Linked DNA regions of Mus musculus. The protein of the gene in region 1 interacts with the protein of each later gene in a biochemical or structural test. Links are inferred from orthologs where the notes say so. Each region holds a gene or a part of one and is shown on either strand. Other genes may lie near its edges.

What was found.
Region 2: of the proteins of Ube2i (region 1) and Xrcc1, one has a biochemical effect on the other in vitro, tested with the Homo sapiens proteins (2 studies listed by BioGRID). The link is inferred for Mus musculus from reciprocal best matches to the Homo sapiens genes UBE2I and XRCC1.

What each region holds. Positions count from the first base shown.
Region 1 is NC_000083.6:25,266,143-25,271,097, forward strand, and holds part of Ube2i (SUMO-conjugating enzyme UBC9), read right to left. Parts: intron 3,338-4,955; 5' UTR 3,327-3,337; coding exon 3,261-3,326; intron 3,134-3,260; coding exon 3,050-3,133; intron 2,472-3,049; coding exon 2,399-2,471; intron 1-2,398. UniProt on the Homo sapiens protein: Accepts the ubiquitin-like proteins SUMO1, SUMO2, SUMO3, SUMO4 and SUMO1P1/SUMO5 from the UBLE1A-UBLE1B E1 complex and catalyzes their covalent attachment to other proteins with the help of an E3 ligase such as RANBP2, CBX4 and ZNF451.
Region 2 is NC_000073.6:24,566,589-24,571,543, forward strand, and holds part of Xrcc1 (DNA repair protein XRCC1), read left to right. Parts: intron 1-269; coding exon 270-379; intron 380-450; coding exon 451-556; intron 557-725; coding exon 726-984; intron 985-1,221; coding exon 1,222-1,338; intron 1,339-3,627; coding exon 3,628-3,721; intron 3,722-3,860; coding exon 3,861-3,990; intron 3,991-4,240; coding exon of another isoform or gene 4,241-4,283; coding exon 4,284-4,338; intron 4,339-4,426; coding exon 4,427-4,563; intron 4,564-4,955. UniProt on the Homo sapiens protein: Scaffold protein involved in DNA single-strand break repair by mediating the assembly of DNA break repair protein complexes. Negatively regulates ADP-ribosyltransferase activity of PARP1 during base-excision repair in order to prevent excessive PARP1 activity.

The DNA of each region.
Region 1 (4,955 bases):
ACCCCCACCCCCAATTTTGTTAAACCCTTACTGTCCTCGAGCTTTAAATAAAAGAAAGGTGGGAGTGTAGTGATGGAACGCTTGTCTAGCTAGCATCTGTGAGGCCCTGGGTTCAATCCCAAGCATCACAAAATGCTAATAAGTTAATAAGAATGAGACAAAGCATCAACACCAGCATTAAGGCTGAATCCTAGAAACCTCCCTAACTGCTCTGTGCAGACAGAATGGCTCTGAGTTACTGCATGCCTCTCCAAGCAGAGCTGTGAGGAAGGACCTGAGAGTGACTTATGCCATGGGCACAATGATAAGCAAATGGAGAGGGTTTGGGTGTCAAGACCCCAAACTAATTTCATCAGTTCCTCCAGCCCATCTGTCTCACAATTGGGCCAGGCCTCCACAGAGGCACTTCTGGCAGCCACCTTAATTTTTTTTTTTTAAAACCCACTGAAGAGTGATTGCACACACCTCTGATCCCAGCACCTGGTAAGCAGAGGCAGGCAGATCTCTGAGTTTGAGGCCAGTCTGGTATGTGGAGGAACTTCCAGGACAGCCAAGGCTACACAGGAAAACCTGTTTCACCCCAACCCCAATTTTTTCCCTGTTTTTAATATGTGTAGATATATATGTTTAATATGTGTAGATATATATGTTTGTGGATCATGTATGTGTAGCGCTCATGGAAGCCAGAAAAGGGTGTCAAATCCCCTAGGACGGGAGTTGTAGTGGAACTGTCATGGGATGTTAGAATCCAACCTTGGTCCACTAGAGGAGCAGCTAGTATTCTAACCCAGAGCCAACACTTCTGCTTTAAAGCTCACCTTATCTCTGGGTCCCTTACTCATCAGTGATTCTCAACACAAGTCTGCTCCAGCAGGCATCTTTCCAATTCTGGGCTCTTCTTTGTGTCCTTTAACTTGTACTTTGCAAACACAAGTTTACTCTTCCTTGCCAACCATGTTTACTTCTACCAGCCATACCTTGCATGAATCTCAGCTGGCCCATGAGCCCCTCCCTGTTTTTAGCCTCACTCAGCAATAGAAGCTGCTTTGAGCTGCATGGATCAGACATTAAGGAACCCACCATTTTGCTGTCTGGGGGTTTAGATGCTCCATCTTGCTTCCCTTTAATCTCAATTATTTCCCAGGCTGCTACTAATACACACCTGCACCAACTCTTTGACTTCTGATTCTTACCAACCTGGCTTCCGTGGTGTTCCTGTCTTTGTGAACATGTGTGAGCATTTCTACTGGTAGTTCTACAGAACAGTGGCAGGTCAGCTTTACTGGTGACAGCAGAGATCTTCCAGAGAAACAGCCTTCACATAACCCAGCAAGGGCCAAGAGCTTCTGCTGCCCAGCCCTTGGCTGCCTCAGGTCTCCTTCTCGATAACCCAGAAGAGCCTGACAAACGTGTACTCTGCTCCGTTGCATCCCTAGCTGGTGTCTTCTAAGACTGACTTAACTCCAGGGTCACAATTATAGCCAATCCCCAAGGCCAACACCGAGTACAAGACCTCTCTCCCATGGCATTTGGTACCACTACAACAGCTCAGTTCCAAACGTCTGCAGGCTATGCTCCATTTCTTCACGTTCACCTTTTTCCTCCTAAGCATGCTTCTTGGTTTTCCTAGCCAGTTTTGAGAGACTTGTCTCATTGTATTTGCTCAGGATTCCAGCACCACACGAAAGGAAAGAGACCAACAACTCTGTCTACCTCAATCCTAGCTACATACCCCTTAAAAGAAAAAACTAACAAAAGAACTCAGGCAGACAAGGAAATCCCAAACAGAACAGGCAAGACTCCATCTAGTGGTTCCCAATAAACTATGTTTTAGTACTCCTGGGGAACTCTGCATCAGGTAACATCTATTTATAAACCAGCTCAGACCTGGCCTTACTTATCCTGGGCAGAATGGTGGTGGTGGGCACTGTACCCCCAAGCAAGTTCTGCTGAGCTGAACAGAGATCAGTCCAGCCTTCTCTTCTGACCCCATGGTCTGAAGGCCATGAGCATCCCACAGAACACAGCAGATGGGGATGAGTAAGAGTCTCCTCTCTCCTTTAGTGCTCTGAATGGAACTCAGCTGATATATGCTAACCACTCACGTAATCTATGGGAACTTACAGACTCGAGTTCTCCTGTGGGCACAAAAGCACCCAGAAGCTTCAGCCTGACACAACTCTCCCTCTGCCATGTGTGGTACATCCTAATAGGCTGGGATTAGAGACCACACTAATTACATGCGCATCTACCCTGGGACTTGTCATCCAAGACAACTCACCAGGACCGACTATCCCAGCACTGGCACCTGCCTACTAGGCCAAGCACTCACAGACATGGCTCCCAAAGGGTGGTGGTAGTGCTGGGAAGTGGACTGCAGGCTCTTTGCACAACTTACATTTTGGTGGTGAGGACGGATAGTCATCTTTGAAAAGCATCCGTAGCTTGAACAAGCCTCCTTCCCATGGAGTCTGTGGGGAGGGAACCAAGGTTAGACCAGTGGCTCACTTGCCAAGGTAAGCCCAGGAGAAGTTTCCTGAAACCTGGGTCCTTTGGGCTTCTTCTCTAACTGCCCTACACCACCATTACTGCATACTCTGCAACTGAGCCTTGTATAGATGAACCCAAACTATGTTTTTGCTCAGACACTAAGCTGACCTAGAGGTCTGGGTTTGGTGAATGCCTGAAGTTATAGGAGACCATCCCTCTTACATGTGCTGGACAAGGGCAGACAACCGGCTGCACTCAGGCCCATGAGTGTAAAGAAACACGGCCTGGGTTCTCCATGGGCACCTCACCATTGGGGCTTACTGCTTTGTAGCCAGCAACCTTCACCTGCTCTTTACCCCTGACCCCGGGCTGTTCACTGATCCAGTGATTTGCCAAGGTCCAAGCCTCCTTACCACCACAGGCCACTCCTTATCCAGGGGAGAGCTGTGACCTGGCAGGCTAGCTGTGGTCACAAATATGCAAACTTAGGTCCCTTCTAGTAGTTCTGCTCCTTCAGATCTGTTAAGTTAGTAGGTGCAAAGCCAGCAGTCACCCTTACCCCCTTCTTTCCAGGGATAGCGCACTCCCAGTTCATCAGGTTCATTGTGCCATCAGGGTTCTTTGTTGGGACAGCTACAAAGCCCTGAGAAAGAACAGTCACAAAACAAAGCAGCTCAGACGACAAGCCTAGCTGTCCCCCAGTGGCCACAGGCTGAGACCACCACCCCATCAGAAAGCCCCTCCTACGGCAGACACAGAGTGCTCCTTACAAAAGGGTGGTCCTTCCTCCAGGCTTTCCTTTCCTGCGCAAGGCGGCTGAGGGCGATCCCCGACATATTCAAAGTCCCTGGAACAGAATCCACACAGGGAGGGTTAGGGAAAGCACACACAGACCTCCTCTAAGCCACCCCTACCTCCTACCCCAGCCACAGAGGGCTGTTACCAAGAAGCAGGTAAATGAGGCTGGAGTCCAGCTGGGCAAGCTGCCCTTGGAGCAAGTGTAGCATTACACCCCTCAACCGGCCCCTCAGAACGCCTCCGGGTGTAGGGAGAGCACCACCGCTGTCTCTCTTGTGCTTTACAAACTCAACTGCTGGAAGGGTCAGTGAGAAGAGCCTGCACAAAGGCTGTCACCTCCCTGGCAGGCACTGAGCATCTCTGGAGAGACTTGGCACCCACTCCACAGTCAAATCCTCAGGACAGGCAGGACCTCCCAGGTACTGCACACACTTATCTGAGGCTAAGATGTATGGCCAGCTTAGAATCAGGCCTGAAAGGAGGACAATCACTAGATGTACTAGTGAGAAAAATCTATACCACAGGGCAGAGCGTGGTCAACTTCCATAGGCAGACTGCCCCAAGAGGCCAGGCTATCAGCCTATAGCTTACCAGCTCATAGTTCAGAGATCTGCCCTATGACCCTAGGGGAAGGAGGGCAAGATCCAGGTCAGGCCAGCAGCCTCTGCCAGAGACCATGGTGGCACACTTGACAAGGCCCTTAGGTGAACACCTCTCTACCTAGGCCCACAGCCTGCTGCTTTGACTGTGATGCCAACCTGGCTACCACCTGCTTGAGTTTTTTTTTTTTTTAATCTGCACATCCTTTTTAATATTACTTTAAAAATAAAATCACATGAAACAATACTCAAGAGACTCCCAAACCCACAGAGCACAGGGATTTAGGGGTGTGTGATCACAAGAACATGACCCCTGTGAACAAGAATCTAGCAGAGCAATGGGTATTTCACACTGAGTTGCTTCTCAGAGGTTCCATATTTGACCCCAGCTTCAGGCTTCCATTAGGCTTGTGGGTAAAATCTCCCAGCTGGACTAGCACTAGCCTAGTCTCTCGTTTTCAGCTCAGTCTTCACTCTGAGGCGGAACCTCCAACCACCTCTAGACAAGAGTAAGATTCTTGCCAGAGCACATCCCTGCTACAGCTTCTGCCAGGCTTCAAGCAGACCTCCCATGAGTTCTTGCTATTTAGACTTAGCTCAGGCTGCCCATTTTATCTGCAAAGCTGTGACTACCCTAGGATTTACTGCGTGTTCCTGACCCAGCTAGGATCCCTGGGCTACAGGTGGGCTGATCAGATATGCACCTCCATCTGTAAGCACAGTTGTTCTGAACCTGAACAGACAGACCCACTGGGTCAAAGCATTCTGGTGAGTCCTGCACTGAAGTTACAGATGACTTGTTTTAAGTTCAGAGTCTCACACTGTAGCCCAGGTTAGCCCAAAACTCCTGGCTAGCTCCTGGTATTGGGATTACAGGCATGAGCCACTACATCTGGCTCCTAGACCACTTTTTCTTTCTTTCTTTCCTTTATTTTTGGAGACAGTCTCACCATGTGGCCACAGCTGGCCTTGACAGTCACGCACCACAGCACCTAGACTGCTTGTGATGACTGTACAAATCCAAGTAGAGAGGGGCTGGGACTGCCATCAGAGGTACAGCATCACCCC
Region 2 (4,955 bases), on another chromosome or scaffold:
GACAAGGCAGGAGGGCCAGCTGTGTAAGGTCTCCTCTGCTAAGTAGGAAGTCTTGAGTTCAGCCTAGGATGTATGATGCCTGAGAGCTGAGGGCATGGCCAGGTCTCTAGGTCTGGGGAGGAGGGCTGGGGCCTGGACTACTGAGTCAGGGGTACAATCTAAACTTCTGGGTCACCTCTGGATGTGAGAGTGACTTGATACCTGATAGATGGGAGCTAAGGTGACTGTGGCCCTGCCCTCTCACCCTCAGTCCACTTGTCCTTCCATAGCCTCTACGAGTGACCCAGCAGGACCCAGCTATGCAGCAGCTACACTGCAGGCCTCTAGTGCAGCCTCCTCAGCCTCTCCAGTCCCCAAGGTTGTGGGCAGCTCTTCCAAGGTGAGGTCATCAGACGCTGGGGCAGTGGAGAATGAGGAGAGCCGGAAGCCAACCCATCTCTACCTCCTCAGCCTCAGGAGCCTCCCAAAGGGAAGAGAAAACTGGACTTGAGTCTAGAAGACAGGAAACCTCCCAGCAAACCCTCGGCAGGGCCATCCACCCTCAAGAGACCCAAATGTAAGCAAACTGGATTCCTTGATTCTGTAGTGACCCTGGCTTGTGTGTCATGAGGGAAGGGCTGTGGTCTTGAACCTGCCATCCTAAGAAGGGAGGCGGAAAGCCTGACTTCCTGTAAGAGCTGGGGCTCGATGGGGCACCAACCTAATTTCTGTTCTTTTCTCCCCAGTGTCTGTCCCTAGTCGTACTCCAGCTGCAGCTCCAGCCTCTACCCCAGCACAGAGAGCCGTCCCAGGGAAGCCCCGGGGAGAAGGCACAGAGCCTAGGGGGGCTCGCACTGGACCCCAAGAGCTTGGCAAGATCCTGCAAGGGGTGGTGGTGGTGCTCAGTGGCTTCCAGAACCCCTTCCGCTCAGAGCTCCGGGACAAGGCCCTGGAACTGGGGGCCAAGTATCGGCCAGACTGGACCCCAGACAGCACACATCTCATGTAGGCCTCTGACCTGCCACACGGTTCCCTGCCCTGCCCTGCCCTACCCTGCATGCCCCCGCTAGCTTCATCTGTCCCTGTTCTGCTATCCTCCCTCCCTGCTTCTTTGTGCCCTCCAGCCCCCACTTCTTTACCCCCTTAGTTCTCAGCTTTCTGCGTCCCTCCCTAAGCTCCATCTCTGTTCTGTCTCAGCTGTCCATCAGATCATGTCTGACATTCCTGTTTTGCATCTCCCAGCTGTGCCTTTGCCAACACTCCCAAATACAGCCAGGTCCTGGGCCTTGGAGGCCGGATTGTGCGTAAAGAGTGGGTGCTGGACTGTCACCACATGCGGCGCCGGCTGCCCTCCCGGAGGTGAGGCCCCACGACCTGCCTCTTAGGCAGCGCACACACCTGCCTCTTAGCCCAGAGCAGGCAATGAAGAGCCTGGGGCCTGCTGGGTAGCTCAGGCGATCTCAAACCAACATAAGCCGTTTTCAAAGACGGGCTGGGCCTGCAGATGGGAAGTCACTAGCCTGGGTGGGCCACTGGATTTTGTAATGACGGCTGCTTTGTGCACATTGTGGGTTGTGGCTGTGCAGAGGTGGAAGGGAGCCTCAGGGCTGTATGCCATTCCTCAGAACTGATCCTTTGGCATCCTTTGGGTGCCAGGCAGAGCTGTGACTGAAGTGAGGACGCTGGGGTTGAGCCCTGTGCTCACTTCAGCGAGTGGGTCAGAAGTGTTAGAGCCCAGCTTTGAGGAGCTCAGGAGGGGCACAGTGATCGCGGGATGAGAAGCATGGGTAGCAGCCAGGCAGAGGGCATGCAGGGCTGCAGAGCAAGCAGGGATGGGCAGCATGAGCATCCATCTCCTGACGCAGTGGGCGGGAGAAGAACCACTGGCTGCCAACAGCAGGAGCTGTGGAGCTGGAGAGAAGCCGACTCCGATCCCAGTGAGGTCGTGGCTTGAGTCTGTTTAATAAGCAGGGCTAACCCTGGCACATTCATGTCGGGGACTGTGAGGGGAGGTGGGTGGGTTGGTCAGTTGATCTGGAAGTGGTGGGGACTCCACATCCTGCTTGGATTCCACAGATCCCTGGGAGCTAGTTATCTAGCTTCAGTATTGTGATCATCCTGAACAGATGTGCGGAGGGTGTCTGTGGGCGCCTTTATTCTCTGAGGTGTGTAAGGATAGTTAGCTAGTGTGCCACAGTAGGGACTTGAATCTAGGACACACACACACACAGTACCAAGAATCAAAAATCTTAGGATGGTTGAAAATGAAGAGATGGCTCAGTGGTTAAGAGCATTGGTTGTTCTTTTAGAAGACCTTGACTCAGTTTCCAGCACTCACATAGCAACTCTCAACCATCTGTAACTGCAGTCTCAGAGTGATTGATGACTTCTGGCTGTTATAGGCACCAAGCACACACATATGATGCATAGACATATGTGCAGGCAAAGCATTCATACGTGTAAAATAAAAAAGTTAGTCTTTAAATATATACAAGTTGCTTATATAAAATGCTAGAGTATTTACATAAAAACTGCATAGAATCTTTTCATACATTTAAAAAAGATTATTATTTAAATTATGTGTATGTGTATCTGTGCGGTGGTGCACATGTGTGTTCAGGTACGTGAGGAGACCAGTTGTGTCAAATCCCCTATAGCTAGAGTTACAGGCAGTTGTGAGCACCTGATGTGGGTCCTGGGGAACCAGATTTGGATCCTTTGAACAGTATAAGCTCTAAACATTGAGCCGTCTCTCCAGCCTCACGTACTGTGAGTGTGGATGTCTAAGAACTGAACCCAAGGCTTCCCACATGCTAAGCCACACCCCCAGCCCCTCACTGGGGGTTCTAGTCAGGGCTCTACCACCGTGCTGTATATCCCTAGCCTTTTTGGTTTTGATTTGGAGTGTAGGAGGGTCTTACTAAGTTGTTCAGTCTGGACTTCAATTCACTCTGTTCCCAGGCCATCCTGCCTCTCAGCCTCTTGAGTAGTTGAGATTAGAGACCTGCTCACTAGGCCAGTGTGCTCTTACATGTTTTTGGGTTTTTTGTTTTTTGTTTTTGTTTGTTTTGTTTTTCGAGACAGGGTTTCTCTGTATAGCCCTGGTTGTCCTGGAACTCACTCTGTAGACTAGGCTGGCCTCGAACTCAGAAATCCGCCTGCCTCTGCCTCCCGAGTGCTGGGATTAAAGGTGTGCACCACCGCCCGGCGCTCTTCCATGTTTTGAATCATTCTGTGGTTTGAATCCAGCACTATGTAAATGCCATGTAAATCTTTAGGGAATGACGAGCAAACGGAGTCTGAATGTTGAGTGCAGACACAGACTTTCTGGTCTGTGATTGGTTGGGTGTACAGATGCAGAGACCCCAGATGTGGGGTTCCACCTGAATTTGCATTTGAGACTTTCCCCCATTGCTTGGCATTCTCCTTTGATCCTCAAAGAGTAGACCCCCCCCCCCCATTGCTCTTTCTTGCCTTAAATGGAACAGATCTTCCCCATGAGGGAAAGAGCCTGGGGTGGCTGAACTGCCTGGCACGTAGTGGAGCCCCTCTAGGGCTGGGAGGGGTCAGAGGGCAGCAGGATTCCTTCTCTATCCCCACCTCCCTCTACTTCTCAGTCCTCTGCCTGAGGCCCAGTTCCTCCCCTAGGTACCTCATGGCAGGCCTTGGATCCAGCAGTGAGGACGAAGGGGACTCTCACAGTGAGAGCGGCGAAGACGAAGCTCCCAAGCTTCCCCAAAAGGTCTGATGCCCCTATGGGGCCAGGAGGGAATACTGGGTGCCAACCAGGTCTGCTGAATACCTCAGCTTCCTGCTTCTCCCCGCTGCTGGCTGTCCAGAGCCTCACACTGCCCCAACCTCACCTAGCCCTTCTTCCTCAGCGGCCCCAGCCCAAAGCCAAGACCCAGGCAGCAGGACCCAGCTCACCCCCGAGGCCACCAACCCCAAAAGAGACCAAAGCACCGTCACCAGGACCCCAGGACAATAGTGACACTGAGGGGGAAGAGTCAGGTTAGAATCTGAGGGAGAGGTCTACACGCTTTATGTCTGAGGGAGGAGGAGGGCTAGGGCCTTGAGCCCTGGGTTTGGGGGCAGGGCTGGTGTCTAGCTTTCTGGGTCTGAGGGGGAGGGCTGTATGGAGGTGAAGGAGTAGAGGAGGGGCCACTGTGTACCCTGAAAACTAGATTGAGAGGGCAACTGAAGTCAAGTTCATAGGCCCTGGCTGTACTCTCGGGTGCCATTCTGGGAGGGGTGTTACTAGATGTCCCAGGAACCAAGCCTGTTGACTGGGTTGCTACTGGCAGAAGGACGGGACAACGGGGCAGAAGATTCTGGGGACACCGAGGATGAACTGAGGAGGTAGGATTGAAGGGGGTACGTCTGCCTGGCCTTGGGTGTGGGTGTCTGCTCCCTAAGTGTTTACCCTCCACTACTCTTGATCGCCCAGGGTGGCCAAACAGAGGGAACAAAGGCAGCCCCCAGCCCCAGAGGAGAATGGCGAGGACCCGTATGCAGGCTCCACAGATGAGAACACAGACAGTGAGACCCCCTCAGAGGCTGACCTGCCAATCCCAGAGCTCCCAGGTTAGACATCCCTGACTCTGTGACATGTCCCCTAGGTCCCCTGGGTCTCTGCTGTGTCATGCACCACTTGCTCCCTTTCCTGTGACTCCCACTTTACCCCTGCTGACAGCTTCCTGCTCTGGCAAGCACCTGTGTGACATTGCTGTAGTGACCTTCCCAGTGTGAGCAACCTCATTTCCTGACTTGTGATTCAGGACTTACCATCTCGCCCCTAAACGCAGCTCTGTCTGTCATCAGCTCTGCTGCCCCTGGACACCTGAGTGCTGGGCACAGTGTGTTTGCACTCATTACTGATAACGTTAAGCCAGCTCTGTTTGTGCGTGTGCTATTGAGCATGATTCTTCCCTGTTTGGTTTTTATGAGACAGGGTCTCAGGGAGCCCAGGCTAGTCT